3 linked regions of the Macaca fascicularis genome follow. The protein of the gene in region 3 binds, or shares a complex with, the protein of the main gene of each other region. Links are inferred from orthologs where the notes say so. Each region holds a gene or a part of one and is shown on either strand. Other genes may lie near its edges. The genes, in order: FLNA, ITGAE and ITGB7.

What was found.
Region 1: the proteins of ITGB7 (region 3) and FLNA are in contact, whole or in part, in a crystal structure (PDB 2BRQ), measured with the Homo sapiens proteins. The link is inferred for Macaca fascicularis from reciprocal best matches to the Homo sapiens genes ITGB7 and FLNA. Residues at the interface, in NP_000880.1 of Homo sapiens: Pro776, Leu777, Tyr778, Lys779, Ser780, Ala781, Ile782, Thr783, Thr784, Thr785, Ile786, Asn787, Pro788; in NP_001104026.1 of Homo sapiens: Thr2263, Gly2267, Ala2268, Gly2269, Gly2270, Leu2271, Ala2272, Ile2273, Ala2274, Val2275, Glu2276, Gly2277, Pro2278, Ser2279, Lys2280, Ala2281, Ile2283, Phe2285, Phe2311.
Region 2: the proteins of ITGB7 (region 3) and ITGAE are in contact, whole or in part, in a cryo-EM structure (PDB 8ZJF), measured with the Homo sapiens proteins. The link is inferred for Macaca fascicularis from reciprocal best matches to the Homo sapiens genes ITGB7 and ITGAE. Residues at the interface, in NP_000880.1 of Homo sapiens: Val201, Leu202, Pro203, Ser206, Thr207, Val208, Pro209, Ser210, Lys211, Arg213, His214, Cys216, Pro217, Arg219, Leu220, Glu221, Arg222, Leu255, Asp256, Ser257, Pro258, Thr291, Phe292, His293, Thr294, Ala295, Gly296, Asp297, Lys299, Leu300; in NP_002199.3 of Homo sapiens: Phe36, Leu38, Arg91, His92, Arg93, Gly94, Leu111, Arg113, Leu118, Ser119, Ser120, Leu122, Glu196, Glu198, Arg230, Tyr233, Glu234, Phe237, Glu238, Cys239, Asn240, Ser259, Gln260, Val262, Met263, Leu266, Arg300, Leu401, Gln403, Phe406.

Annotation. Positions count from the first base shown.
Region 1 is NC_088395.1:160,354,979-160,364,635, reverse strand, and holds the start of FLNA (filamin-A), read right to left. Parts: upstream 5,732-9,657; 5' UTR 5,610-5,731; intron 2,467-5,609; 5' UTR 2,351-2,466; coding exon 1,978-2,350; intron 1-1,977. UniProt on the Homo sapiens protein: Promotes orthogonal branching of actin filaments and links actin filaments to membrane glycoproteins. Anchors various transmembrane proteins to the actin cytoskeleton and serves as a scaffold for a wide range of cytoplasmic signaling proteins.
Region 2 is NC_088390.1:3,800,608-3,809,812, forward strand, and holds part of ITGAE (integrin alpha-E), read right to left. Parts: intron 8,924-9,205; coding exon 8,770-8,923; intron 7,566-8,769; coding exon 7,415-7,565; intron 6,335-7,414; coding exon 6,267-6,334; intron 5,419-6,266; coding exon 5,277-5,418; intron 3,921-5,276; coding exon 3,778-3,920; intron 3,439-3,777; coding exon 3,298-3,438; intron 2,399-3,297; coding exon of another isoform or gene 2,302-2,398; intron 2,014-2,301; coding exon 1,789-2,013; intron 663-1,788; coding exon 532-662; intron 1-531. UniProt on the Homo sapiens protein: Integrin alpha-E/beta-7 is a receptor for E-cadherin. It mediates adhesion of intra-epithelial T-lymphocytes to epithelial cell monolayers.
Region 3 is NC_088385.1:59,997,676-60,007,596, forward strand, and holds the start of ITGB7 (integrin beta-7), read right to left. Parts: upstream 5,890-9,921; 5' UTR 5,840-5,889; intron 1-5,839. UniProt on the Homo sapiens protein: Integrin ITGA4/ITGB7 (alpha-4/beta-7) (Peyer patches-specific homing receptor LPAM-1) is an adhesion molecule that mediates lymphocyte migration and homing to gut-associated lymphoid tissue (GALT).

The sequences.
Region 1 (9,657 bases), on a different chromosome or scaffold from region 3:
GTGGTTAGGGCGGGTCCCCGACACCCCCCATTGCCATGGCAACCCTGCTGGGCTCTGGGCCCCACCCAAAGCTACTTCTGGGTCTCAGGCTCAAGGCAGGATGGTTTGGGCTTTCTAAGAGCTCATCTTTAGAAGCTCTGTCAGCCTCTCCCATAATCAGACAAAATACTTCTCTGGTGAGTCAACTAGGGGGTGGGTCTATGAGGAGGGGCTGGGCCGTCCACGGCAGCTGCTTCCCAGCCCAGCAGGCAGCACCTGGAGGGCCAGGTGGGCCGCTCAAAGTAGAGTGGCCTCCCCAGTTCCCAGATTGGTCCTGGCCCCACGAGGCTGCCTTTCACTTTCCCTAAATGACAGCGGGGAGAGGGGCTCAGAGAGGACTGAGGGTGCAAGGCCAGGGAACAAGGCCAGCCAGGGCTTCCCATCAGGCCCCCACCCCAATCCAGCCTGAGACCCCTTAACGACCCCCACACCGGGAGCAACCAGGCCCACCAGGTCCATGTTAGGCCAACCTACTCCGTCCCCATCCCCCTCCCAAAAGAGAGTGTGAAGGACCAGGGCCCAGGGCTGGGAGACTGCCTGGCTGGATGGCCCCGCCCCATCCCACCCCCTTTCCCCAGCCCCCGGGCCAGCCAGCCCCTCCCTCCCCTAATCACTGCTGCTTTCCAACATTTTTTTGCCTTATATGGCAAAGCTCTGGGAACTAGGCCTGCTCCAGCCAGCTCACAAGGAGGAGGGGAGCTGGGAGGAGGGAGGAGACCCCCGCCAAAGAACTGGGGTGTGGCCCGCCTCCCCACATCCGGTCGCCCCCCCCCACACACACCATCCAGGACTCTGAAATGACTCAGCTTGGCTAGACTGAGGCTGGGACTTGGGGGGGTGGGCCTGCCCCTCGCCTCAACTGGCATTCCAAAGAAAGAACTTCAATTCTTGGGATCTGCCCTCTGAGTGGCTGGGGGAACCCAAGTCTTGGTCCCTCACTTTCTTGGGTTCAGCAAGGGCCATTCCAGAGCTGCAGGGATAACTGGAAGGCCTCTCAGTTCTGAAGAAGAGAAGAATCATCATCCCTCTCCTCTCCCTGTTCAACGTCACCCCCAAGTCACCCGTTCTGGTGCCTGCCCTTCCAAGCAGCCCCTATCTTGAGAAAGAACTGGGATGCTGCAGCAGGCCTGGTCAATGCCAGCCTCACCAGTCCAGTGACACAGACACTGGGCTGGCACAGTGCACGCCGGAGCATCTACCAACCAACTCCTGCGTGCTATACGCAGAAAAGCAAGGCCAACATGGAAGCAAGAATTTGTCCCAAGATGAACAGAAAAGTTGGCGTCCAAGTAGTCTACAAGCCAGGTCCCTCAGTCAACCACGCCCAACTCCGGGTACAGTTTTGCTAACTACGCTTCTTTCTGGCCCCCAGGTTCCCTGTGTGTGTGGGGGAGGTAGATCTAAACTGGTGGTTGGAGCCATCTCCGATGGGCGACGCATCCTCCAGGGACAGAAAGAGCCCAGAGTCCTAGACAATGGGACGCACGAGCTCCAACCCACACTTTAGAAACAAGGGGAGTTTGAAGCCAGAGGGCCCTCTCTAAACAGCTGTGGGGGGAGAGCCTGGGCCTCCTCCTCCTCGAGGATGGGGCGCAGGGCCAGAGCCTGCCCAGTGCCCGACCCCCCAGGCCCACTCCCACCGCGAGCACATCTGCGGGGGCGCGGCCTGCTGAGGATGGTGAGTTCAGCCTGGGCGCCGGCCAGCCGGGGCGCGGCGGGCGGGGGCGCGTAGCGGTTCGCACGCTCGGCCGGCCAGCCCGCCAGCCCGCCAGCCCGCGCGCCTTTGTTCTCCAGGCCCGCGTGGAGCAGACCAGCCGGGGGCCTCGGGAGCTGCGCCGCAGCCCGGAAGGAGGTGGTTTGGAGGGGTCCGCCCGGGGAGATGGAAGGACGCACGGAATTCCCGCCCCCGCCCGCCCGGCGCTTCGGGGCGTCCCTCACCGATGGACACCAGTTTGATGCTCTCGCGGTCCAGGAACTCGAGCGCCACCGACACATTCTCAAGCTGCATTTGGCGGAAAGTGGGCCGCTGGTTGTGCTTGCGGTGCATCTTCTTCTGGCTGAGCACCTCCAGCAGCGCGATGAGCCGCAGCCCGTCGCTCAGGTCCGTCTGCAGGTTGGCGATGCGCTTGCTCACGCACTTCAGGTGCTCGTTGCACCAGCGCGTGAAAGTGTTCTGCTGGATCTTCTTCCACGGTGCGTCCTCCGCGAGGTCCTTCTCGGTGGCCGGCATCTCCGCGTCCCGCGTGTCAGCGCCACCACCCGGAGCCGCGCCTGCTGCGCTCTGGCCCGCCCGAGAGTGGGAGCTACTCATTTTGAGGCGCGAGAAGCCGGGGGGGCGGTGCTGCAGCCTCGGCGAGGGGACGGCCCTTTAATTAAAGTCGCAGGCACCTCGGCGCGCGGGAGGCGAGGAAGGAAGCAGAGGTTGCGCTGCGGAGAGAGCGAGCCCTTTAAATGCGGGCGGAGGGCGGGGCCAGGGGGCGGGCCTCCTGCGGGGAGGGGCCGTGGGGTGGGGCTTCGGGGGCGCGACTGCCCCACCCCGCCCCGCCCGTTGGAATGCCCCCACTAGGCCCCGGGCTTTGGCTGATCAGACGTGAAACCCGGGCTCCGGGGTGGGTCGCTGGGCCCTGGAGTGGGCAAGGATGCTCCCAGCCCCGCGGCCTCGCGTTGGCGCTGCAGGAAACGCGCCCCAGAGCGAGGAAAGGCTGAGCAGTATCTGGCGCGGGACTGCTTGGCCTGCAGCCGGCGCGCCTTACAAGGGACTTTCCTTCCCCAGGGCTCCTGCGAGGGGTGGGGTGGTTCTCGTCCCTAAGTCACTTGGGCTCTGCCCCGTCCCTGCACAACCCTACCCTCCCACCGTCATCCCCTTTCCCCGGGCCCCCAGGGCCTAGGGTTCCCGGGCGGCATCCCGGTCCGCCGCCCCGGCAGCGGCGGGAAGGGGCCAACCCTAAGAGCGAACCCCTGGAGAGCGGCGGCCCCGGACCAGGCACTGCCGAGGGCCCTTTGTGTGCGCATCACCTGGGAAGCGGCTGCAGGGCAAGGCCTGCGCCTACGCGGTCCCCGCAGACCCCCTGCCACGGGCCTGCCTTCCCAGTCTGTAGGGCCCTCGCCTGCGCACCTGTGCCCGCTGCTTCCCACCGCCTCCCTCTCTGCTTCCCTCCACCCGGGAGGATATGGGGCACTGGGCCAGGAGGCCGCCGACACTCCAGGAGCAAGCAACCTTTGAAGGGGTCCGGGCGTGCCAACGGGCACGCCAGTGGGCGCGGGCAGAGGGTGCCGTGCGATGTGTGCAGAGACGTGTGCCCGCCTAATCATTCATGCCAGTTCACCCGGGGCACTGGGGGGAGTTGAAGCCGGGGTCCTCTCCTGTCGGAAAGGCCCCTGAGCCCAGCATGGCCAGCCAGGGGACAAACGGGAGTGGCATTCCAGACCCAGAGGGGCCTGCTCAGCGGTTCCCATAAGACTTGTCAGACTCTGAACACCTGGGTCTGGGTGGGCTTCGGGTGTGGTGGCAGGTGCAGAGGAGGCCTGAGGACAAGGATCAGGGGCCTGGGGTGTTGTGTCCCCAGAGCAGTGGGGGCTATTCACTCAAAATTTTCTGGTAGATAACTCTGGAGATGGTGCAGCGGCTGCTGTGCTGAGATGTAGACTGGGACCAGGGAACTGTTGGGGATGCTCACTGCTACTATCTTCAGCCAGAAGCCAGCCTGCCTATGGCTTCCTCCCCAGCATGCACTCCCTCTCTCAGTCCTCGGTACCTCCCCTCTCCGTAATGTTTCCTCCTCTGAGTATTTTTTTCTAGGAAGGCAGGTATCTGTCCCTCCTGCTCAATTCTAGTAATAATTAATTTATCTGCTAAAGACCAGTGAGAGGAGGAGGCTCCGGCTTGGCCAGCACGTCATGCCCAAATATGGTTGACTCTCCTGTAGCCCTAGTTGTCTACATGACATGTGGTCAGGCTGTGTGTGATCCACCCAGCACATTCACTTGGGGCTGCCTGTGGCCCCACTGGTTTTTCCCACTAGTGGTGGTGTTAGGGGGTGCAAATGGCATTTTCCAGTACTGAGGCCAACCCCTGTATATTGTCTCCTCTCCTGACGACTTTGAGACACACCTGCACCAAGTGCACCTGGGCGTCTGGGAGCTGGAGTGGAGGTGGGAGGGAGGACTGGAAAGGAGGGAGCCATACAGATCCCTCCCTGCCAGGCCCCATTCAAGACAGGTTTGAAGTTGTCCTTCTGGTCCCCCTGCCCCATGGAAAGTAAGTTCCCAGGCACGGAATTCCATCGAGAATTTACTCTCCACTAAGGGCCATTGAGTTGGGTTGTCTGGGTTCATTCCTTAATCTTCAGAGCTCAGGGAAACTGAGTCAGAGTGACCAGTAGCCAATTCCAGCAGAAAGGGTGTCAGGAGATGGGTGCCCTGTCTTCCAGCCCTAGCTTTTCCCTATTTAGAGGAAACAAGGAATGGGCGTGTAGAGGGTTCTTGTCCCTAGAACATAGTATCACCGCCAGATGTCGCCCGATCCCAGAGCCCCCAGATCGGGCAGTCTTGGGAAGCCAAAATCCAGCTCTTTCATATTTTCCCTTATTTGGAGTAGATTCTTGGATGTTAGACACACCCCGCCCACCACACCACCCCTGGCCCTCAGACCCCAGGCCAGACCCTCCCACTGGGAGGTATAGCCCAAGCCCAGGGGCTGTTCAGCTGGGATCCCTAAGGAGCCATTTCCAGGCCTGTGTAGCCAGGGGGCGCAGGAGGGAAGGAAGCAGCAGATTGGCAAGGTGAGAAGAGACCTGTGCTGGCAAGTCTGGGTGCGGCAGGTGAGGCTGCCCATTCCCAAGCTCCCACCTCGGCAGTGTACTCAGAGCACTTACAAATGGGTCTGCCAGTGGACTTTAACCTACTTTGCCTGGCCCCAGGTGGCATGGGAATCTGGGGACATTGCTGGTCACATCCTGGCTGGCAGTGCGCATCCAGCTCAGAGCCAATCTGGGATATGGCCCAGGGCCCGACCAAGGAACCTGGCCTGGCCTCAACCTCACCATGGCCGCCATGGAGTACAGCAGCCCAAGAACCAGCTCCCCTTTGCCCAAAGCAGCTGGTGTCCCGTGGACTCGAGCCAGCAAAGGACACGCTGTCCCCCTCCCAGTGGGCACACTGACTGAGAAGTGTCCTTCCAGGTGGCCACTCACCCTGAGTCCACACAAGTTCCTGGTGTCAGGGCCCTTCTCTCTCAGGCATGCAGTCTGTTCATGGGCACCCATGCAGGCACCAGTTTCCTGGCAAGTGCCCAGACACCCTCTTTCTCTAGGGGACCCCCCCATGGCCTCAGGCTCCCACATTCGTGGGCACAGACACGGCTCATGGGTCAACTAGGGAAGACATTCTCTGGACACTCACTCCCAGATGTCAGGGGCGCCTCCATCGGCTCACGCATCCCAGCTGAACCTGGCCCGGACCTGGGCGCGAGCTGGCGCCTGCGTTCTCGGGCCTCTGTGCCCGCCTTCTCCAACCCCGCCCCCGGCCGACAAGGAGCGCGGCGACCCTAAGCCGGGCCGCGGAGACCTCACCTGCTGTCCCTGAGAGCGACCGGTGGCCGGTGACCGCGGGGTGGCGCCCGGATCGCCTTCGCGCCCGCGCCGGGCGCCTCGGGGTTCTGTCGGCGTCCGCTGCGCGCGACGCGCCTCCACGCGAATGGGCCGCCGCCGCCCGCCTTCTTGTTGGCCGCATCCCCGCCCCGCGCCCGCCCCGCGCCCGGCCCGGCCTGGCGAGAAAGCCTTAATTGGTAAAATTGCCCAGGAGCCCGGGACGGGTGCGTGGGGGGCGGGGTGCGGGGGCGCGCCCTGAGCTCCAGCGACCCGCCGCCAGGCGACGCCGCCCCCCGAGATGAGCTCACCGCCGGCGAGGGCCGCCAGGCCCTGGGGGAGGGAGGACTTCGGCGGAGGGGAGGGAGTCGCCTCCAGCGCCCACAGGGTCTGCAGGGCTCATGTGTAGGCCCAATCACAAGGACGTTGCGTGTCTGAGTCTGGGGTAGCCAAGCGCACCCCAGGTGGAAAGGCCCAGGCCCAAGGCCACCTTCTCCAAGGAGCCACCCACAGTCACGGCCCCCCGGTATCTGTCCCAAGTCGGGATTGTGTTTCCTGGGGTGGGGGCAACAGGTCGTTGCAGGTGTTTGCTGGGTGCCTACCTCAGGCAGGGCCCCAGGACGGGACCGCAGGGCTCTGAGCCCTGGGATGAGCCTGACTGCCACCGATCGGGCGCTGCCAGGTCTGGCCTGGGGTGGGCAGCAGAAACAGGACCGCTCAGGTGGACAGTCAGGGGCAGTCCCAGAGCCTGGGAGTGTGCAGCGGAGTGCAGCCAAAGAGCCAAGTGTCTGTGAACATGGCGGTCACAGCCACGCCCTGGCACTGCCAGGCTCTCTCTTCCTCTTCTATGTGCCCATTTCCTGGTAGCTTCAGATTCAGCTCAAATGTCACTTCCTTGGGGAAAGCCGCATAAAGCAGTGCCGTTGTAACATCTTGCCCACAACCCCCAATAAGAATTACAGTTGACACTGTGAGCCAGCACACACACACAGACACACAGATTTGAAACAAAGAGTAGGCTGCTATTTTCTATTCTATTCCAAAGAGGGAAGGGTGGAAGGGAGGGAGGGAGGGAAGAAGGGAGTCTGCTCACACCTGCTAATTTAGTTCTGCAATCCCCAGTTTAACACTGTGGCAAGGCACTGGTTGCCCTCTAGGTCTTGCTGCCTCTGCTGGCAATGGCATTTCATCCCCGAAGCCCCGCGGAAATGTCCCAACAGGCCCAGGGGCTCATCTCCAGCTGCTCCATCCAGTGTGTGTGCCCTGCTGGGGAAGCCACTTGCTAGATGAGAAACCTGAGCTCAGGCCCTCGAGGTAGCTGTGCTGCGAATCACAGCCAAGGCTATCCTGAGGAGGGAATCCCGCCCACCCACAGGCACCGGAACAGGTGGAGGGAGCATGAAAGAGGTAGTGGCTGCTTGGCTGCGTCTCAAGATCCCCGCTGTATTTGAACCCTCTCTTTCCACTCCTGCACCGCTCCCCGACACACACACACCCCCTCTAAACACAAGCAGTTCTTTGAGTCTACTTTTTCCAGGTTGCAGTGGGAACAAAGGTTTCTATAACACCAGTCATTCCTTGTGAAGATCATGACATCTCCCTACGTTGAAGATGGCAGAGAACTGGAATTGGCTCCATTCCTGCTGCAAAGACTGAATCTCCAACCAGCTACACCAACAGTAGCAAGCTCACCACCCTCGAGGGCCACCAGGCCCTGGGGGAGGGAGGACTTCAGGGAGAGTCGCCCCCAGCCCCCACAGGGTCTGCAGGGCTCATGTGTAGGCCCAATCACAAGGATGCTGCGTGTCTGAGTCTGCGGGAGCCAAGCGCACCCCAGGTGGAAAGGCCCAGGCCCAAGGCCACCTTCTCCAAGGAGCCTCCCACAGTCACGGCCCCCCGGTGTCTGTCCCAAGTCGGGATTGTGTTTCCTGGGGTGGGGGCAACAGGTTGTGGCAGGCATTTGCTGGGCGCCTACCTCAGGCAGGGCCCCAGGACGGGACTGCAGGACTCCGAGCCCTGGGATGAGCCTGACTGCCATGGATCGGGCACTGCCAGGTCTGGCCTGGGGTGGGCAGCAGAAACAGGACCGCTCAGGGGGACACGAAAGTTAAGTTTGTTTAGTATTAAGAAGATTCTGATCTTAAAGAAAACATTGGCTGGGCATGGTGGCTCACGCCTATAATCCTAGCACTGTGGGAAGCTGAGGCAGGTGGATCACTTGAGCCCAGGAGTTTGAGACCAACCCGGGCAACACAGCAAGACACTATCTCTACCAAAAATATAAAAATTAGCTGGGTGTGGTGACATGCACCAGTAGTCTCAGCTGCTCAGGACGCTGAGGTGGGAGGATCGTTTAAGCCTGGGAGTTTGAGGCTGCAGTGAGCTATAATTTCACCACTGCACTCCAGCCTGGGTCACACAGTGAAACCCTGTCATTAAACATAAAAAAAAAATATGCACTGTAGCTCATGCCTGTAATCCCAGCACTTTGGGAGGCCGAAGTGGGTGGATCACGAGGTCAGGAGTTCAAGACCAGCCTGGCCAAGATGGTGAAACCCCGTCTCTACTAAAAATATAAAAACTAGCCAGGCACAGTGGTAGGTGCCTGTAATCCCAGCTACTTGGGAAGCTGGGGCAGGAGAATCGCTTGAACCTGAGTGTCAGAGTTTGCTGTGAGCCGAGATCACATCACTGCACTCCAGCCTGGGTGATAGAGTGAGACTCTGTCTCAAAAAAAAAAAAAAAAAAAAAAAAAAGGCCAGGCGCAGTGGATCCCAGCACTTTGGGAGGCCGAAGTGGGTGGATCACGAGGTCAGGAGTTCAAGACCAGCCTGGCCAATGCAGTGAAGCCCGGTCTCTACTAAAAATACAAAAATTAGCTGGGCATAGTTGCAGGCGCCTGTAATCCCAGCTACTCGGGAGGTTGAGACAGGAGAATCGCGAGAACCCAGGAGGCGGAGGTTGCAGTGAGCTGAGATCGCACCACTGCACTCCAGCCTGGGTGACAGAGCTAGACTCTGTCTCAGAAAAAAATAATAAAAATAAAAATAAAATGTTAACAGCTCAGTGAACAATCATCTACTTGTTATAGATACTGAGGAATGTTTCCATGTTGATATTTTTTCCTCATAACTCAGTCACGTTGGGATTGTAAGTTATACAACATATACTGCTTGCCAGCCATTCCATCCTTAAGGAGCAACTCAGTTTTCTTATTCTTGACTTAGAATTGGTTGCACCACGATGTCTCCTCTGCCTGCACTTCCCAGGAAGAATCCCCTGGAGACCCTCAGATTTTCCTGTACATGCCCTTCCCAGACCCTCTGACGACTGCAAATCCCACCCTACCCTTGACGGGAAACTCTCTGAGGCTGTCCAGGTCATCAACCCCAGGGACCAGGTACTGGTGGGGGAATGTTCCATGAATTAATTGCTGTACTCAGGGCTCTTGGACAAGTCTCCCCTGATCACAGGGTCCTGACTCTCCCTGTATAAGATGGACGCTCTGCTGCTCAGGAGCCTGCCTGGCTTCCAGTGGTCTGGAGTGGAGCTGCACTGCAATGGGGCTGGACTTAGGCTCCAGGTACCCACAGGGTGGGTGCAGGGGGACCATCACAGTTCAGCTTCCTGGTGCCATCTGTGGTGGGACCTGATTGTGGGGCAAAGGGGTGGGACATAAAAGGCAGAGTGCCGAGGCAGGTACAGAACGGGTGGGGGGTGCTCCTTAGGGAGAAGGCAAATCTAGAATTCCTTGACCTCATAAGGAAACAGCTTGGATCCGTATGGGGAGGGGTGGCATGGGGGAGGATGGAGCAGCACTTAGTACACAGAGGCCTCTGGGAGATGCGCCAGGATTGCAGAAGGCTTGCAGAGGTGCTGGGGAATCTGATTTTGTCAAACCTAAAAAATCCACGAGGCAGCCTCTGAGCAGCCCAGAGTCCAAACTGCCACCTGTCCCCTCAGCTCTGAAAGATGAGGTGCAAACCCCTGCCCTACCCAAGGCTCTCCTGCTGCACACTGCCAGGCACTGTCT
Region 2 (9,205 bases), on a different chromosome or scaffold from region 3:
CCCCTGTCTCTACTAAAAATACAAAAATGAGCCAGGCGTGGTGGCAGATGCCTGTAATCCCAGCTACTCAGGAGGCCGAGGCAGAGAATTGCTTGAACCCGGGAGGCAAAGGTTGCAGCAAGCCGAGATTGTACCACTGCACTTCAGCCTGGGCCACAGAGCAAGACTCCGTCTCAAGAAAACCAAAACAAAACAAACAAAAAAAACTCCACAATTCCGAATAATCATAGCCATCGCTGAGCATTGTGCTAAAGACGTTGCATATATTCACTTGCATGATCCTCTTAGCTCTGGGACGCAGTGCTCTTATAACTCCTATGTGAGGTCTTAGAATTAAATAACCTGCCCAAGGGCACCCTGAGAGGGCTGAGAGCCGAGGTTCAAACCCAGACGGGCAGACTCCAGAGCCTGTGCCCCCAACCACAGTGCTGGCTCCCTCCCTCGGTGCCTAATATCTGCATTGAGCTATTTAGAGCAGGACAAATGGGTGAGGCTGGGCCTGGGACCCCAGAAAGCAGGACAGAGCCCTACCGGAACACAACCGCCCGGCCCAGAGTGCCCACGGTGATGTCGGCAAGGCCGTCGCCACTGATGTCAAACCCACCAGCCACGGACATGCCAAAGTACTGGAGTCCTGGGGCTACCGCGGAGGCTCTGATCCGCTGTGGAGGCAGAAACACAAGGCGTGGGGTGAGGGAAGGGAGGGAAATGGAGCAGGGAGTTCTTTCATGTTCTATACCAATCAGCATTGCAGGCCCCATCCAGCCCCAGGGAGCCCCCCCCTCCCCAGTCTAGAGCCAGGAAAGAGGGGGCAAGCTTTCTCAGAGGAAGTGGCATTTGGGTGGAGCCTCAAAGGGCAGGTGGGACTTGACAGGGGAGAGTAAGGGAGTGAGGCATGGGGAAAGAGCAGGACCCTCTGAGAAGCAGCCAGGGCCAGGGACGGGGTGGACCGCAGGGGATTGGGGTACAAGGAGGCTTGATGTGGGGCTTGGGGGTGGGGGTGTCAACAAAGGTTCTGTTTTTTTGAAGCGACATAATCAGGATAATACTTTAGAAATGGCACTGAAGATATGGGGTGGGAGATGGAGGGGAGGAGGAAGCTGGGTGGGCTGGGAGAGGGATGGCAAGGCCTGAACTGGGACTGCAGCGGTGGGGATGGAGAGAAGGGGCTGGACTTGGGAGACAGCTAGAATCATGAGGACGTGGGGACTGACAGCTGTGCAGGGTGTGAGCATGCTGGGGACCCTCTGAGGTTTCTGGTGTTGGGGGTGGAGGAGGATGAGGACTCAGAGGAGCATCAGGTCTGGGGGAGCAGGTGCTCTCAGATGGGCCACACGGGCAGGAGTGAGATGCCTGGGGCCATCCAGGTGGAGGTTCTCAGGAGGAGCTGCAGGTGGGTGAAAGTACCCGTAACACATGCAGTGTGAGAGGCTGGCGAGGGAGCCCTGGGGAATGAGAGATAAGGCAGAGAGGTGGCTGGGTGGGAGACAGGAGCGAGGGACAGAAAGAGAGGAAGCAGGGACCCGAGGCAGGTGGGTGGAAGGAGAGGGTATAGGCCAGGGAAGGAGACAGGTACCGCCACAACCTCCCCTCAACCTGAAGGGGCTGAGCTGAGGCCCTGGTCTGGAACCTCCCACCAGCCTGAGGGACTTCTTTCTTCCACTGGGCACTCCCAGCCCCCTGAGACCTGCCCAGCACTTAGGACTGAAGTCGACTTGGGGCTTGGTCATCATATCTGGGAGAGGTCAGAGCCCCAGAGGAGAGGAAGGAGAGGGCCCCATGGGTCACCTGCGAGGGGCTGGCGGAGAGGCCGTCCCAGTGTCCATTGTAGATATACACACTGCCGAAGCTGGCACCATCACCTGCCCCGAAACCTTCCAGGGGGGCCCCGATGGCCACATCTGTGAGCTTATCCTGACTGATATCCCCCACAGCCGCCATGGCAAAGCCAAAGCGGGCACTGGCGAACCCGGGGTGCCCACTCAGTATGCGTGCCAAGGAGAAGGAACCATCCTGTAAAGCAAGCAAACAGCTCAGCCCCCAAGAAGGGGCGCTAGGTGCCCACTCCATGGCCACCCAGGATGCACGCTCACTGGGCTGGTGGATTCTGATTCTCCAGCAGGGAGCCTGAGCCCCAGAAAAGGCCAGGGACTTTCCCAAGATCACACAGCACGAGGGGAAAGCTGGGGTCCTCCCACCTTGAAGTTCAGGACTCAGAGCCTGCCCCCCTCTACTTCCATGGGCAGGGGTGCATTGCTGCAAATGGGAGGCCTGGGTTCCACTCGCGGCTCTGCCACATACATGCTAGGTACACTTGAGCAAGTCTCAGCATCACAGGCTCACCGAGCCCCAGCTTCCTCATCCGTAAGATAAGAGTGGCAGCTACCTCCCATAGTTGCTGTGAGAAACAAATGAGATCCTGGACTAAATGGGCTTTGCCACCCATGCAGCTGTAAGAAATGTCATCGGCTGGACGCAGTGACTCAGGCCTGTAATCCCATCATTTTGGGAGCCCGAGGTAGGTGGATCACCTGAGGTCAGGAGTTCGAGACCAGCCTGGCTAACATGGCAAAACCCTATCTCTACTAAAAATACAAAAATTAGCTGGATGTGGTGGCAGGTGCCTGTATTCTCAGCTACTTGGGAGGCTGAGGCAGGAGAATCACTTGAACCCAGGAGGTGGAGGTTGCAGTGAGCCGAGATTGTACCATTGCACTCCAGCCTGGACAACAGGGTGAGACTCAGTCTCAGAAAAAAAAAAAAAAAAAAAAATGCTGGGCGCGGTGGCTCATGCCTGTAATCCCAGAACTTTGGGAGGCCGAGGTGGGTGGATCACCTGAGGTCGAGAGTTTAAGATCAGCCTGACCAACATGGAGAAACCCTGTCTCTACTAAAAATACAAAATTAGCCAACCAGGCGTGGTGGTGCATGCCTGTAATCCCAGCTACTCGGGACGCTGAGGCAGGAGAATCGCTTGAACCCCGGAGGCAGAGGTTGCGGTGAGCCGAGATCACGCCATTGCACTCCAGCCTGGGCGACAAGAGCGAAACTCTGCCTCAAAAACAACAACAACAACGAAAAGAGATATTACAGATATTATCAACGACTGCCCTTGGGTAAGAAAGTGGGTGCGGAGAGAGATGCCGCTGCCCTGCCCAGCCGCCATCCAGCCTGAGCACCTCCCCATCACTGCCCACTGGTGCCAGGCAGAGCCAGGGCACTCCCAGCCTCCATCACCTCTGTGCCAGGCTGAGTGCCACAGCCTTATCAAGCTCATGAAGATGGAGACTCTCCCACCTGCTCACTGAGACGGTACACGTAGACTCTGCCTTCTTCTCCATGAACATGGTAAAATGGAGCAGCCACCAGCAAGAAGTCCGTGGTTCCATCCATGTCAATGTCCACAGGGCACAGCTCAGAGCCAAAATAGGACCCCATCTACAGCCCGGGAGGAACTCAGCTCACCAGGAGCCCCACTCCTCCACCCCTCAGCAAGGCTACACTGTGCCCACGTGCTTCCTGGACCACCCGGTTTGGGTCGTTACATATCAGTTTGCTCACTGAGAGTAACAGGAGAGCGGAGGAGCAGTCCAGGCCCCACAGCGGAGGAAACTGTGTAGCAATCAGACATGCAGAGCCCTTGAGCTCCACTCAGGAGCCTGAGTTTTACCCGGCCTGGGCCCTGGCCCACTGTGCACCCTGGGACCCACCCCTTTCCCTTGGGGCCTTCAGATTCCCCATCCGTCAAAAGGGGTGGGAGCTTTCCCCAGTGGGTACCTGCTCTCCCTCTAGCACTGGCAGGAAGCTGGTCTCTGTGCCCTCCTTCTGGAGCTCAAACACGGCCCCATGATGTTTGTACCGTGGAGCCCCCGCGACGTAGGAGACGCTGCAGGTCTTGTGCAGCACGGCCACAGCGTAACCTGGGGCAAGGGTGGGATGGCTGTGAACACACCGTGTGCTCCCACCTGGCCTCTCTTTTGGCCCCGGCACCTTCCCAGTCAGGCCTTCAAAGTGGCCTGGGGAGGGGGGTAAAATAGGAGAGACTGTCTTTCTCACTATATTAAAGATCTGCACCAGCAAACACTCTCCCTTTACCAGTCACACACATCCCCATCAACAGAAGTGATGCACACACTGTCACGTATGCAGCTTTGCTCAAAACACTCGTTCGCACACATCTACTACCCACGCTCACACACACACCCTAGGGGGACTGAGAAGAGGTGTGAGAGGATTGCCCACCACTATTATTATTTTTGTTTATTGATTTATTTTTGAGACAGAGTCTCGGTCTATAACCCATGCTGGAGTGCAGTGGCACAATCTTAGCTCATTGCAACCTCCACCTCCTAGGTTCAAGAGATTCTTGTGCCTCAGACTTCTGAGTACGTGGGACTACAGGCGTCTGCCACCACGCCCAGCTAATTTTTGTATTTTTAGTAGAGACAGGGTTTTGCCATGTTGGCCAGGCTGGTCTCGAACTCCAGACCTCAGGTAATCCGCCCGCCTTGGCCTCCTGGGATTACAGGCGTGAGCTACTGCACCACTATTATTAATGGAGAGGCCCCGCCTTCCTGTGGGCGGCTGCTCTGCCTGGTGTACCTGATAGGCCCTGTCCCTATCCAGGAGGCGGTAATTCTCAGCCTCAGGGTCCCTAACCAGGGCCCGCCCCTCGGCCCATGTGACCGACCAGGTCTCGCCCCCATTTGGAAACCTCAAGTACAGCCCAATGCGCAGCCTCGGTGTCCCCATCTGGGCCTCACCCTCACCCAGGTAATCTCCAGGCCCCGTCCTTCCCAGGTAATCTCCAGGCCCCGCCCTCTTCCAGGTAGCCCCCAGGCCCCGCCCTCGCCCAGGTAGCCTCCAGGCCCCGCCCTCACCCAGGTAGTCTCCTGGCCCCTCGCTCCTCAGGTAGCCCCCAGGCCCCACCCTCGCCCAGGTAGGTCCCGCCCTCGCCCAGGTAGCCTCCAGGCCCCGCCCTCACCAGGTAGCCTCGCCCCCCAGGCCCGGCCCTCACCCAGGTAGCCCCCAAGCCCGGCCCTCACCCAGGTAGCACCCAGGCCCCGCCCTCACCAGGTAGCCTCGCCCCCCAGGCCCGGCCCTCACCCAGGTAGCACCCAGGCCCCACCCTCACCCAGGTAGCCCCCCAGGCCCGGCCCTCACCCAGGTAGCCCCCCAGGCCCCGCCCTCACCCAGGTAGCCCCCAGGCCCCGCCCTCACCCAGGTAGCCCCCAGGCCCCGCCCTCACCCAGGTAGCCCCCAGGCCCCGCCCTCACCCAGGTAGCTGTACTGCGCAGCCTCCCCGTCCACCGCCGCCGTCGTCTGGTTCAGGAAGCGACCCCGGCGGCTGCGTGTGTTGTAGAGCAGCGCGCCTCCGGACCAGTCAAAGGCCCCGACGGCGCCGAGCAGCACCTGCCGCTGAAGGGGACGGGGATGGGGCCCAGATGAGTGGGAGGGACCCAGGGCCGGGCCACGGTGGCAGCGGGTCTCTGGGCCAGCGCGGCTAACCTGGCTGGGAGAAGGGGGGCGTTCGGTGGCCTAGTGCCCGTCTGGCCAGAGATGCAGGTGCGAAGGTGAGATGGCCAACCCTGGGCTCCTGCCTCGTGCCCTTGCACTCCCGCCTCCGGGAGAAGCAAGCAGCTTGGTTGGTAGGCTGACCCAGGCCGAATCCTGTTGACTGGTCTGTATTCAGGGGAGCAACTGGATGTTTGAGCACACAGAAAAAATCCACCTCCTGTCATCAATATGGCCACACTTCTGTCTATCTCAGTGGTCCAGATTAAGATGAGCAGGCAGAAATATTTCCCTTTATCCTAAAATGGCTCTTTCAGGCCCGGCGTGGTGGCTCAGACCTGTAATCTCAGCACTTTGGGAGGCCGAGGCAGGTGGATCGCCTGAGGTCAGGAGTTCGAGACCAGCCTGGCCAACATGGTGAAATCCCGTCTCTACCAAAAATACAAAAATTAGCTGGCCGTGGTGGCAGGTGCCTGTAATCCCAGCTACATGGGAGGCTGAGGCAGGAGAATCACTTGAACCTGGGAGGCGGAGGTTGCAGTGAGCCGAGATTACACCGCTGCACTCCAGCCTGGGCGACAGAGCAAGACTCCGTCTCAAAATAAATAAATAAGTAAAATAAAATGGCTCTTTTAGAGGAATCATCACAGGGAGAGCAGAGCTCTGGATGGGAGGCAGGAGTCCCTGAATCCTAGGTGTTCTGGGCCCCTTCCCAACGGGCGAGCCTGCCTGGTGCTGAGTCAGCCACATACCTCATCCAGGATCTGAGCACTGAAGCCGATCTGTGCCAGCTGGTAGTGAAGGGCGTCTCCAACCGTGCCTGCAAGCCAAGAAGCCCAGTGAGACTGCTGTGGGCGGAGGTGAAGGGAGAAACGGAGGCAGGGGACAGTCCAGCTTGGCCTCAGGGAACCATGCTTGGTGTAACAGGAAGAGCACCCGGTTGAAGGTAGAGACCCAGGTTCTCCTTGAGCAACTACTGTCTGGGCAGTTCGCTCTCTCTTTCTAGGCCTCAGTTTCCTCGTCTGGGAGCTCCTGGGAGAAGGGACTACGCTCCAGTCATCCTTGTTTCTCCAGCACCAGCTCAGTTCATCAGAACTTCATGGAGATTCTGGGACGCAAGGAGGTTGGAGATATTGTTGCCTTCTTTTTTTTTTTTTTTTTTTTTTTTGAGACAGTGTCTTGCTCTGTTGCTCAGGCTGGAGTGCAGTGGCTCAATATCAGCTCACTGCAACCTGTGCCTCCCAAGGTCAAGTGACCTGTTGCCTTAGCTTCCCAAGTAGCTGGGAATACAGGTCACGCACCACCACGCCTGGCTAATTTTTTTTTTTTTTTTTTTGAGACGGAGGCTTGCTCTGTCACCCATCCTGGAGTGCAGTGAGGCGATCTTGGCTCACTGCAAACTCCGCCTCCTAAGTTCAAGTGATTCTTCTGCCTCAGGCTCCTGAGTAGCTGGGATCACAGACATGCACCACCACGGCCGGCTAAATTGTTTTGTATTTTTAGCAGAAACAGGATTTCACCATGTTGGCCAGGCTGGTCTTGAACTCCAGACCTCAGGTGATCCACCGGCCTTGGCCTCCCAGAGTGCTGGGATTACGGGCGTGAGCCACCACACCCGGCCCCAGCTAATTTTTGTTTTAGTAGAGACAAGGTTTTACCATGTTGCCCAGGCGGGTCTCGAACTCCTGGCCTCAAGCGATCCACCTGCCTCTGTCTCCCAAAGTGTTGGGATTCCAGGCGTGAGCCACCACACCCGGCCATTGCCTTTTTAGACATGGAACAGCTGAGGCTTAGAGAGATGATGGGAGTTGCTCAAAGAAACCACATGAAGATGGGACAGAGGCGGGGCTAGAGCACAGGCTGGGGTCTCCTGTGGTGGCGTGGGTCCTGGAGCCCTCACCTTCCATGCTGATGATGTTGTACCGCAGTTTGCTCAGCAGCCCATCCAGCGCCATGTAGTTAGTCACCTTGAAAGCGTGGGTCTCATCCGGGTCTGAGGCGATCAGGTTGAGTTCCCTCTCAGTCCTAGCACTCTTAAATTCTTCTCCCACCTGCACAGGGGGCCTGGGTCAGCGAGTCAGCGCCACGGGGATTCCCCAGGCCCAGGGAGAGAGCTGAGCCCCTTCCCCTGGCCTCTGGGGCCCTCCATTACCTGCCTCCTTTCTTCCTTTCTCCTCCTTTCCCTGCTCCCTGTTCTACACACACTCTGGGCAAAATTCCAGTTTTACCAAAGTACACCAGTTCTCCTGAACACACCGAGCCCCTCCTCACCTCTGCACATGCTGTTCCCTCTGCCTGCAGGGCCCCTCTCTGCCTCCCCTGCGCCCTAAGCAGCTACTCCCCTTCCCTCTGCCTGCGGGGCCCTCTCTGCCTCCCCTGCGCCCTAAGCAGCTACTCTCGTTCCCTCTGCCTGCAGGGCCCTCTCTGCCTCTCCTGTGCCCTAGGCCAGCTACTCCCGTTCCCTCTGCCTGCGGGGCCCCTCTCTGCCTCCCCTGCGCCCTAAGCAGCTACTCTCGTTCCCTCTGCCTGCGGGGCCCCTCTCTGTCTCCCCTGCGCCCTAAGCAGCTACTCCCCTTCCCTCTGCCTGCGGGGCCCTCTCTGCCTCCCCTGTGCCCTAGGCCAGCTACTCCCATTCCCTCTGCCTGCAGGGCCCTCTCTGCCTCCCCTGTGCCCTAAGCAGCTACTCCCCTTCCCTCTGCCTGCGGGGCCCTCTCTGCCTCCCCTGTGCCCTAAGCAGCTACTCCCCTTCCCTCTGCCTGCGGGGCCCTCTCTGCCTCCCCTGCGCCCTAAGCAGCTACTCTCGTTCCCTCTGCCTGCAGGGCCCTCTCTGCCTCTCCTGTGCCCTAGGCCAGCTACTCCCGTTCCCTCTGCCTGCGGGGCCCCTCTCTGCCTCCCCTGTGCCCTAAGCAGCTACTCCCCTTCCCTCTGCCTGCGGGGCCTTCTCTGCCTCCCCTGTGCCCTAAGCAGCTACTCTCATTTGTCTGGCAGGACTCAGCTCGGCACCACGGTCCTCCAGGAACATTCCTTGGTGCGTTTCCTGTGGGCTCTCCCGTCACTATTTGGCCAGGAAGCTGTGACCACCATGGGGAAATGGGCCCTCTCTGGGATGACAGGGCATGGGGAGAAGGGGAGTGTTTGCGAACAGAACAGGGTCTGGATAAGCTGCTTACAGAGAAGCCCCCATCTACAACCCTGACTCCTCCCCACCCCAGGCTGAGCAGGGTCAGGAGGGGCCTCCCGGCTCCTGGCTCTTACCCCAATGGCAAAGCGCTCAACACCATGCATTTTAGGGGAGTTGATGACTGTCGTAAGGTCGAGAGGGTCCTCGAATATGCCACCATCAGTGAGCACCACCATGACCTTGGATGCCTTTCTTCTGGAGCCGTGGCTTGAGGTGAAGATGTTGTCTCTGAGCAGGGGAGAGTAAAGGAAGAAGAGAGCTTTGCCAGAGGCATGACCGCCTCCAGGAGAGACTTCATTCTCTGACCTGTATTAGAATGGGGAGGGTTCACAATCCTCCCAAAAGACCCAAAGAAGGGGGTGATGCCCCCTTAAGTCACACAGCGAGGCTAGGCAGAGGGAGGGCTGTAACACAGGTGTTCTTGCTTCTCACCTGCTCCCAGCAGAAAGGTGCTGGCTGGCAGTCTCTTCCTTTTGTGTGCATACAGGAAGAGTAATGACATTAAAATGA
Region 3 (9,921 bases):
AGCTGCAGTGAGCCAAGATCGGGCCACTGCACTCCAGGCTAGGCGACAGAGTGAGACCCTGTCTCGAAGCAAAAGAAAGAAGGAAGGAAGGAAGGAAGGAAGGGAGGGAGGGAGGAAGGAAGGAAGGAAAACCACAATGAGATACCACTTCACTTCTACTAGAATGACTATCATCAAAAAATGAAAAACAGCGAGTGTTGATGAGAACGCGGAGAAATTGGGATCCTTATATATTACCGTGTAAATAATGTAAAATAGTACAATCTCTGTGGAAAACAGTTTGATTCCTCAATAAATTGAGCGTAGGATTACCCTATAACCTGGCAATTTCACTCTTAGGTATATACCCAGAAGAATTGAAAACAGGTGTTCAAACAAAAATTTGTACAGAAATGTTCACAGCAGCACTACTCACAATAGCTAAAAGGTGGAAAGAACCCAAATGTCCATTGGCTGATGAATGGATAAAGAAAAGGTGGTATATCCATACAGCAGAAAGTTATTTGGCCATAAAAAGCAATGAAGTGGGGCGGGCACAGTGGCTCACGCCTGTAATCCCAGCACTTTGGGAGGCCGAGGCAGGTGGATCACCTGAGGTCAGGAGTTCAAGACCAGCCTGACCAATACAGTGAAACCTCATCTCTACTAAAAATACAAAAATTAGCCAGGCATGGTGGTGGGCTCCTGTAACCCTAGCTACTTGGGAGACTGAGGCAGGAGAATTGCTTGAAACCGAGAGGCAGAGGTTGCAGTGAGCCGAGATTGCACCATTGCACTCCAGCCTGGGTAACAAGAGCAAAACTGGGTCTCAATAATAATTTTAAAAAAAGGCCGGGCGCGGTGGCTCACGCCTGTAATCCCAGCACTTTGGGAGGCCGAGACGGGCGGATCACGAGGTCAGGAGATCGAGACCATCCTGGCTAACACGGTGAAACCCCGTCTCTACTAAAAAAATACAAAAAACTAGCCGGGCGAGGTGGCGGGCGCCTATAGTCCCAGCTACTCCGGAGGCTGAGGCAGGAGAATGGCGTGAACCCGGGAGGCGGAGCTTGCAGTGAGCTGAGATCCGGCCACCGCACTCCAGCCTGGGTGACAGAGCGAGACTCCGTCTCAAAAAAAAAAAAAAAATAATAATAATAATAATAATTTTAAAAAAAGCAATGAAGTACTGATACATACATGCTACAACATGGAAAACATTGTACACTAGCAGAAAACATGCTCAGTGAACAAAACCATTCATGAAAGATCACATATTGTATGATTCCACATATGGAACATATCCAAACTAGAAAAATCCACAGAGACAGAAGGTAAATTAGTGGTTACCAGAGCTTGGGGGAAGGGGAAATGGGGAATGACTGCTTAATGGGCAGTCTCATTTTTGGGGTGATGAGTAAGTTCTGGAATTAGTGAAGGTACTTAATGCCACTGAATTGTACACTTAAAAGTGGTAAAAATGATAAATGTTTGTGTATCTTACCATTTTAAAAATCAAAAAGTTAATCCTACCCCATATGCCATACCCAGTTTCCACACCTACCTTAAATGAATATCATTTATTACTATTTTTTTTCTTTTTTCTTTACTTTTTTTTTTTTTTTTTTTTTTTGAGGCAAAGTCTCACTCTGTGGCCCAGGCTGGAGTGCAGTGGCATGATCTACAGCCTCCGCCTTCTGGGTTCAAGCGAGTCTTGTGCCTCAGCCTCCTGAGTAGCTGGGATTACAGGTGTGAGCCGCTACGCCCAGCTGATTTTTGTGTTTTTAGTAGAGAGAGTTTCGCCATGTTGGCCAGGTTGGTCTCGAACTCCTGACGTCAAGTGATCCGCCCACCTCAGCCTCCCAAAGTGCTGGGATTACAGGCATGAGTCAACCTATCTTTGTTTCTTATAATCTTTCTAGAGATTGTTTTATGCATATACAGATTAACATGCATATGCTTTTTAAATGGTAGACTCAAATGGCCCAATTCTTTAAATGGTAGAAAACACAATTTTTCACTTTTTTTTCCTGTAACTACTTTTCTTTTTTTTTTTTTTTTTTTTTTTTTTTTTTTGAGACGGAGTCTCGCTCTGTCGCCCAGGCTGGAGTGCAGTGGCTGGATCTCAGCTCACTGCAAGCTCCGCCTCCCGGGTTCCCGCCATTCTCCTGCCTCAGCCTCCCGAGTAGCTAGGACTACAGGCGCCCGCCACCTCGCCCGGCTAGTTTTTTGTATTTTTTAGTAGAGACGGGGTTTCACCGCGTTAGCCAGGATGGTCTCGATCTCCTGACCTCGTGATCCGCCCGTCTCGGCCTCCCAAAGTGCTGGGATTACAGGCTTGAGCCACCGCGCCCGGCCTCCTGTAACTACTTTTCTTGAAGATCTTTCTACATGAGAAAATTAAGAACGTCCTTGTTCACTTTTACAGCCATAAAGCTTTCCATCGCATGGATACCTCATATCACAGTTAATCAGTACCAAGGATGTGCATTTAAATTGTCTCTTCTTTTTTCTTTTGAGACAAGGTCTCACTTTGTTGCCCAGGCTGGAGTGCAGTGGTGCCGTGATGGCTCACTGCAGCCTCCACCTCCTGGGCTCAAGCGGTTCTCCCCAGCTCAGCCTCCGTCGTAGCTGGGACCACAGGTGTACATCGTCACGTACAGCTATTTTTTATTTTTTTGTAGAGACAGGGTGTTGCTATGTTGCCCAAGCCGGTCTCAAACTCCTAGGCTCAAACTCCTAGGCTCAAGTGATCCTCCTGCCTCGGCTTCCCAAAGTGCTAGGATTACAGGCATGAGCCACTGTGCCTGACCTTAAATTATTTCTAGTTCACTATGACAAACAACGCTGAAATGAAAAGTAATGTATTTATTTATTTATTTATTCATTCATTCATTTGAGAGATAGGGTCTTTCTCTGTCACACAGGCTGTAGTGTAATGGCGCAATCATGGCTCACTGCTGCCTTGACCTCGCCGGCTCAACTGATCCTTCCACCTCAGTCTCCCGAGTAACTGGTACTACAGGCGCATGCTACCATGCCTGGCTAATTATTTTTGTATTCTTTTGCAGAGATGGGGCTTCCCCATGTTGCCCAGGCTGGTCTAGAACTCCTGAGCTCAAGTGACCCACCCGCCTCGGCCTCCCAAATTGCTATGATTAAAGGCGTGAGCCACCTCCCCCAGCCAAATGTCATGTATTTACCATTTCACTCGTGTGCAACTGAACCTGTAGGATAAATCCCTAGCAGAGGATGTGCAGGATAAATAGATAGATATCATTTTCAATGTTGGTGTGTATTTCATCTACATTCTCATGCTAAGAAAAGTATATATATGTTGGTGGGTATTGCCAACATAAACTCCTCGGTGCTTGTACTGGTCCACATTCCCATCAGCAGTGTATGAGAAAGGCCAACTAACTCCTCGTCATAAACCATTTGCATCTTCTTCAGCCTGGGCCAGAGTCAGTTCCAGATACTCTGCACAGAGTGTGGGAAAGGGGTGGGGTGCTGAGTTCTTGAACATCCTGGTGCTGCTCCCCACCACCTGTGACCTCAGGTGCCATATATAACGGAGGCTCCACCCCTCGGGGAGAGGCCGGCCCCAGTTCAGCCTCAGTGTAACCTCAGCCCTGCTTGCTCTGCGTGCCTGTGGTCAGGGAGGCTGGAGATGCTGCAACCCAAAGCCCGGTTTTGACTCATTTCTCTCAAGTGGAGCCCCAGCTGCCACATAGGTTTTTCAGAGATCTCAAGCCCACTCTTCTCCCCTTAAAAGGGGCCCTGGGACTCCCTGGACAGCCGTTTTCTACCTTTCTTCCCAATTATCCTCTCTTCTCCCCTCCTTGGGAATACATGTTCTGCCACCTGTTTCTTTGCTTCTCTGTCTCTCTCTGGCTCCTTTCATTTCAAAACTTCTATTGCATCTCTCTGCTGCTTTTCTCTGCTCCACTTCTTCATAGGGCTGTTTTACTTCCTTTTCCCCTCTGTTCCTAACTATAGAATGGCTGAATCTTCACTCCATCCCACTCTTTTCACAAATGGAAACCTAAATTCCATGAGGCCATGAAGGGGTCGCCTGCCCCTCCACACCTGTGGGCGTTTCTCGTTAGGTGGAACGAGAGACTTGAGAAAAGAAATGAGACACAGAGACAAAGTATAGAGAAAGAAAAAGTGGGCCCAGGGGACTGGCGCTCAGCATACAGAGGACCCGCGCCGGCACAGGTCTCTGAGTTCCCTCAGTATTTATCGATCATTATCTTTACCATCTTAGAAAAAGGGAAGTGGCAGGATAATAGGATCATCGTAGGGAGAAGGGCAGCAGTAAGACATATGAATAAAGATCTCTGTGACATAAGTTTAAAGAAAAGTGCCGTGCCTTGATATGCATATGCAAACATCTCCATAAACCTTTTTAGTGCATAAAGAGCAGCATTGCTCTAGCAAGTCCCACCTTTCGCCCTAAGGTGGTTTTCTCCCATCTTAGTAAATAGAATATATAATCGAGTTTTACACCGAGATGTTCCATTGCCCAGGGATGGGCAGGAGACAGATGCTTTTCTCTATCTCAACTGTCAAGAGGCCTTCTTTCCTCTTATATTAGTCCTCTTCAGCACAGACTCTTCACGGGTGTCAGGCTGGGGGACAATCAGGTCTTTCCCTTCCCACGAGGCCATATTTCAGACTATCACATGGGGAGAAATCTTGGACAATACCTAGCTTTCCTAGGCAGAGGTCCCTGCGACCTTTGGCAGTGTACGTGTCCCTGGGTACTTGAGATTAAGAGAATGGTGATGACTTTTCACAAGCATCCTGCCTTCAGGCACTTGTTTAACAAAGCACACCCTGCACAGCCCAAAATTCGTTAAACCTTGAGTCACCACAGCACATGTCTCTTGCAAGGACAAGGTTGGGGGTAGGGTCACAGATTAACAGCATCTCAAATGCAGAACAAAATGGAGTCTCTTATGTCTACTTCTTTCTATACAGACACAGTAACAGTCTGATCTCTCTTTCTTTTCCCCACAAGGCCAGGGTCACCCAGTGAACTAGGGGCAGGGCAGGACAGGGCAGGGCCAGACCTCTGCTGTGCTTCCTCCTTTCCTCCCTCCAACCCGGGTACCATCTCCATCAAAAGTTGTGTTCTGTCTCCGCTAGCCCTGATGGGCTCTGCCTAATCCCATTTCTCTTTCCTTAGGGGTACTCTGCAGTCTTCCCTTCTCTTCCTGGGACCAAGTGGTTATTTCCATTTTTCTGGACTCCATTCTGACTCCAATACACACCATGTGGCCCCCCTCAGCAGCTGAGAAACAGAGCCTCTTCCCAACCCATCCATACCTCCCAAGTCAAGCAGAACCCTCTGCTGCCCACTGGGAGTCACAACAAGGGAACGGAACTGAGCTGCTGGGCCTCAGTGTCCCAGGAGAGTGAAGTCTGTGGCCAAGGTGCCGATTAGGAAGAAGTTTGAGCTGAAGGCAGAGCATTAGGGATGGCAGCTGGGGTGGTGTTGGGAGAACCTTCCCTCAGTATAATCGGTATACCTACCCTACCTCAGTATAATCCTTAGCACATGGCAGGCACTCGAATGACAGCACTCGTACACATCCCTGCCTCCAGACCCACTGTTGGGAAACTGATGCAAGAGAGATGGGCTTTGGGAGAAGTGGGGGTGGGGGGGCTGTGAAACTGGAGGAGGGAAGCAGGTCAGGGGATCTTAGGAATGCAGAAAGGAGTTCAGAGCCTTTCTCAAGTCTGGACAGGACCCTCGATATCCAGGTCAGAGCCCTCTTCCCAAGAGGTTGGGACCAGGTGGGCCTGGGCTTGTAAGGAGAGGAGGCAGAAGGGCTGGTGCCCTGGTACTCACAGGTGCGTGCAGAGCAGCCCTTCCTCTGGCGGCGGCAGCAGCCTTTGTGTACTGGTCTGGGAGACTGCAGAGGAGGAAGTGACACTCCCTGGGGTGGGGAAGATTTGGGGTTGGTGGGGGTGACTGATCTAGAAGGTGGAGCAGATTGGGGTGGGGCTGAGCCAAGGGAGTGGATGATACAGAGATCTGGAAGAAAGAAGCTCATTTATTGAACTCCTGTCGTGTGTTGAACGTAACATACTATAATTAACCCTCACAACCACCTCATAAGATAGGGGTTAATATTCTCCTAAGTCCCAATTTTACAGATGCAGAGATTGAGGCTTAGAAGCAGGAAATATAGAATTTTGCCCAAGGTCCCACAGCTAGTAAGTAGCTAGTCTAGGATTTAAAAAAAAAAAAAAAGGCCGGGCGCGGTGGCTCAAGCCTGTAATCCCAGCACTTTGGGAGGCCGAGACGGGCGGATCACTAGGTCAGGAGATCGAGACCATCCTGGCTAACACGGTGAAACCCCGTCTCTACTAAAAAAATACAAAAAACTAGCCGGGCGAGGTGGCGGGCGCCTGTAGTCCCAGCTACTCAGGAGGCTGAGACAGGAGAATGGCCCGAACCCGGGAGGCGGAGCTTGCAGTGAGCTGAGATCCGGCCACTGCACTCCAGCCTGGGCGATAGAGCGAGACTCCGTCTCAAAAAAAAAAAAAAGAAAAAAAAAAAAAAAGAAAAAAGATTTTTATTTTAAATTTTTGTTATTTTTTGATTTTTAATTTAATTTAATTTAATTTTTGAGACAGGGTCTTGCTCTGTTTCCCAAGCTGGAGTCCCATGGCATGATCTCAGCTCACTCCAAACCCCGCCTCCCAAGTTCAAGCGATTCTCCTGCCTCAGCCTCCCGAGTAGCTGGGATTACAGGGGTGCACCACCATGCCCGGCAGCATTCTATATTCTTAGTAGAAACGGAGTTTCACCGTGTTGGCCAGGCTGGTCTCAAACTCCTGACCTCAATTGATGTGCCCACCTCGGCCTCCCAAAGTGCTGGGATTACAGGTGTGGGCCACCGTGTCCAGCCTATGTTTTTATTTTTGAGACAGAGTCTTGCTGTGTTGCCTAGGCTGGTCTGTAACTCCTGGATTCAAGCAATCCTCCCACTTTGGCCTCCTGCATAGCTGGGATTACAGGCACACCCGGCTGGTCTGGGATTTAAATCCAGGTCTGCCTGCCTCCAAAATTCATGATCTCTCTATTAACTTATACAGGAAGGAACATGATAGGAGGGAATAGAGGCAATAAGTACTGTAGAGAGGCGGGAAGTTAGAGACTCGTTCATTTTGAAAACCCAGGATACATTGTATTAGTGTGCTTGACTACATAGGCTCTGGAGCCAAGTTGCTACAGTTCAAATCCTGGCTCTACTACTTACTTGTAGTAAGGATCTTAGCTGAATTACTTAACCCCACCTGCAGCTGTTTTCTCATCTGTCAAGCAGGACTCACAGGATTGTCGGGAGAATTAAAAGAGATAATTCATATCAATTGCCTAGAAGACTACCTGGCCCATACTAAGTAAGGGCTTGATAAGAGAATTAGTAGGGATGAGAAGTGACAGGTGAGAAGTGAAGAGGCTTTGAGAAATTCAAGGTCCAGACAGCTGGAAACTTGGAAGAGAGAGGCACAGGGCCAGGCTCAGAGCATGTGATTGGGGAGCCAGGAGCCAAGACAGTAGTGGAGCCTGGGAAAGGGGTGGAGGATGTGAACTGGGAGAAGCAGAGTGCAGGAACAATAGCTGAAGCCAAGGAAAGGATGAAGCCTGTAGGGAGAGTAGGAAAATATTAATGGGATTTGCTCCTGGACCATACAGATCACTAAGAGCTTTGAGAGGGAACTAGACATGAGATCTGTGTTCACAGGTTGATCTCCCCTACCAGAAGGAGCACTCCTTGTGGGCAGGGACTGGCTCTACCAGGCTTCCCTGCTGGCGCCACCACACCTAGCCAAGTGCCCATCTTACAGTAGGTGCTCAATGTCAGATGGATTGCAGAGGTGTAGCTGCTAGGAGGGGACAATTGGAGAGGAGGGGCTCTTTCTCTGGGTGGGCTTGGCCGGCCTCAGGCTATGGGGTAGCCAGAACCCATACCCTTCCCCCACAACCAGGGTTTACCACGGCAATGACCCTCCTTCCCCACAGGCCCTGTGGTTTCCTCTAGAGCTTCTTTCACTTTCTTCTTCTGCTTTCCGCCCTCCACTCTTCTCTCCCCTACTCCCACATCCTCAACTTTTTTGTCATATCCACAGGTCACCAGTGAAGAGAGCCAGGAACAAGGTAGGCAAGGCACTGTCCCAGGGAAGGTAGAACACGGAGGCAGGGCTTGAGGGGAGTCACAGAGGGCGAAGGGAAGAGTACAGGGTGCAACAGTAGAGGCCAAAGACACTGCAAAGGCGTGCTGCAGAGAGGTGTGTGGGAGCAAGGACAGATATTCGGAGAAGGTAACAGTGCAGGGGGCGGTGAGTGGAGGTCATGGGGTGAAGAGTGGGAACAGAGAGGGTGGGGGGAGTAAGCTATAAGGTGATAGCAGGGTGGGTGGGGACAGAAGGCCAGAGGGCTCCCTGGGTGAGGGGCTGGTGTAAAACAGAAACACTGTAGCTTAGATGCAGGTTGTGGTTCTTCTCTTCTGGGGCCAGGAACCCTCATAAGAACTAAATGAAACTTCAGGCCAGGCACGGTGGCCCACGCCTGTAATCCCAACACTTTGGGAGGCTGAGGTGGGTGGATCACTTGAGGTCAGGAGTTCGAGACCAGCCTAGCCAATATGGTGAAACCCTGTCTCTACTAAAAATACAAAAATTATCTGGGCATGGTGGTGCACTCCTGTAATCCCAGCTACTCAGGAGGCTGAGGCAGGAAAATCCCTTGAACCTGGAAGGCAGAGGTTGCAGTGAGCCAAGATCACGCCACTGCACTCCAGACTGGGCAACAAGAGTGAAATTCTGTCTCAAGAAAAGAAAATACTCCTTCCCCAAAGAAGAGCAGATATGCACATATGCATAATTGGAGGTGGGGACAGGCTTACAGACCTGTGAAGTCCATTCATGCCCTCCCAGAGATCCACAGGATCCAACATAAGAACCCACACCAGGCCAGATGCAGTGGCTCACGCCTGTAATCCCAGTACTTTGGGAGGCCAAGGCAGGCGGATCACCTGAGGTCAGAAGTTTGAGACCAGCCTGGCCAACATGGTGAAACTCTGTCTCTACTAAAAATTAAACAAATTAGCTGGGTGTGGTGGTGCACCCCTGTAATTCCAGCTACTCGGGAGGCTGAGGCAAGAGAATTGCTTGAACCTGGGAAGTGGAGGTTGCAGTGAGCCGAGATTGCGCCACTGCACTCCAGCATGGGCCTGAACCCACACCTGGTGGTTGTGGGAAACCCGGTCACTCAGGGTGAGTCCCCATGGCTCCCTTTCCCCCATCCTGTCCCCACCGCAATCCAGGCACATTTCATCCTGTTTTCTTCTACCAAGAAAGCTGCAAAGTCCAATCAATTACAAGCTCTCCCTACTCACTCAGCTTCCTCACCAGGTCAGCTGATCATTTCCCTACCACCTCCTAAAGGGAGCCACATCCCATGAGTTTCCATCACTTTATTTTGCAAAAATAGAAAACTCAGCAATATGCAATACAGCGGGGTACAGGGGAGATGTAAACAGAGGGGAGGGGACAGTACCCTGACCCCCCAAGAGAACACAGGGAGCCAATGGGAATCTTATTTGGCAGCTAAATACAAACTGGGGATTGGAGGAAGAAGGGAGGGGTCACAGGGGCCCTGGGCTCCCCCACCCAAGACCCCTGGAGGAAAGGGTCAATTCCAGGGTGTAAACAAAAGCTAATAAATAAATAGAGGCTTCCTCTGGGTCAGGGCAGGATCAGCTAAGCAGCATCCCCCCTCCCTGGGCCAAGCTGCTCTGGGGGGTAAAGGGTGGAAGGCACTAGGGAGAGAGGGATCCCCTGGCCCCTCTGTAGTGTAGGAGGGTCCCTGCCCCGATGGCTGAGATGGAGGGCAGGAGGAGCCCAAGGCACATGACAGGGCTG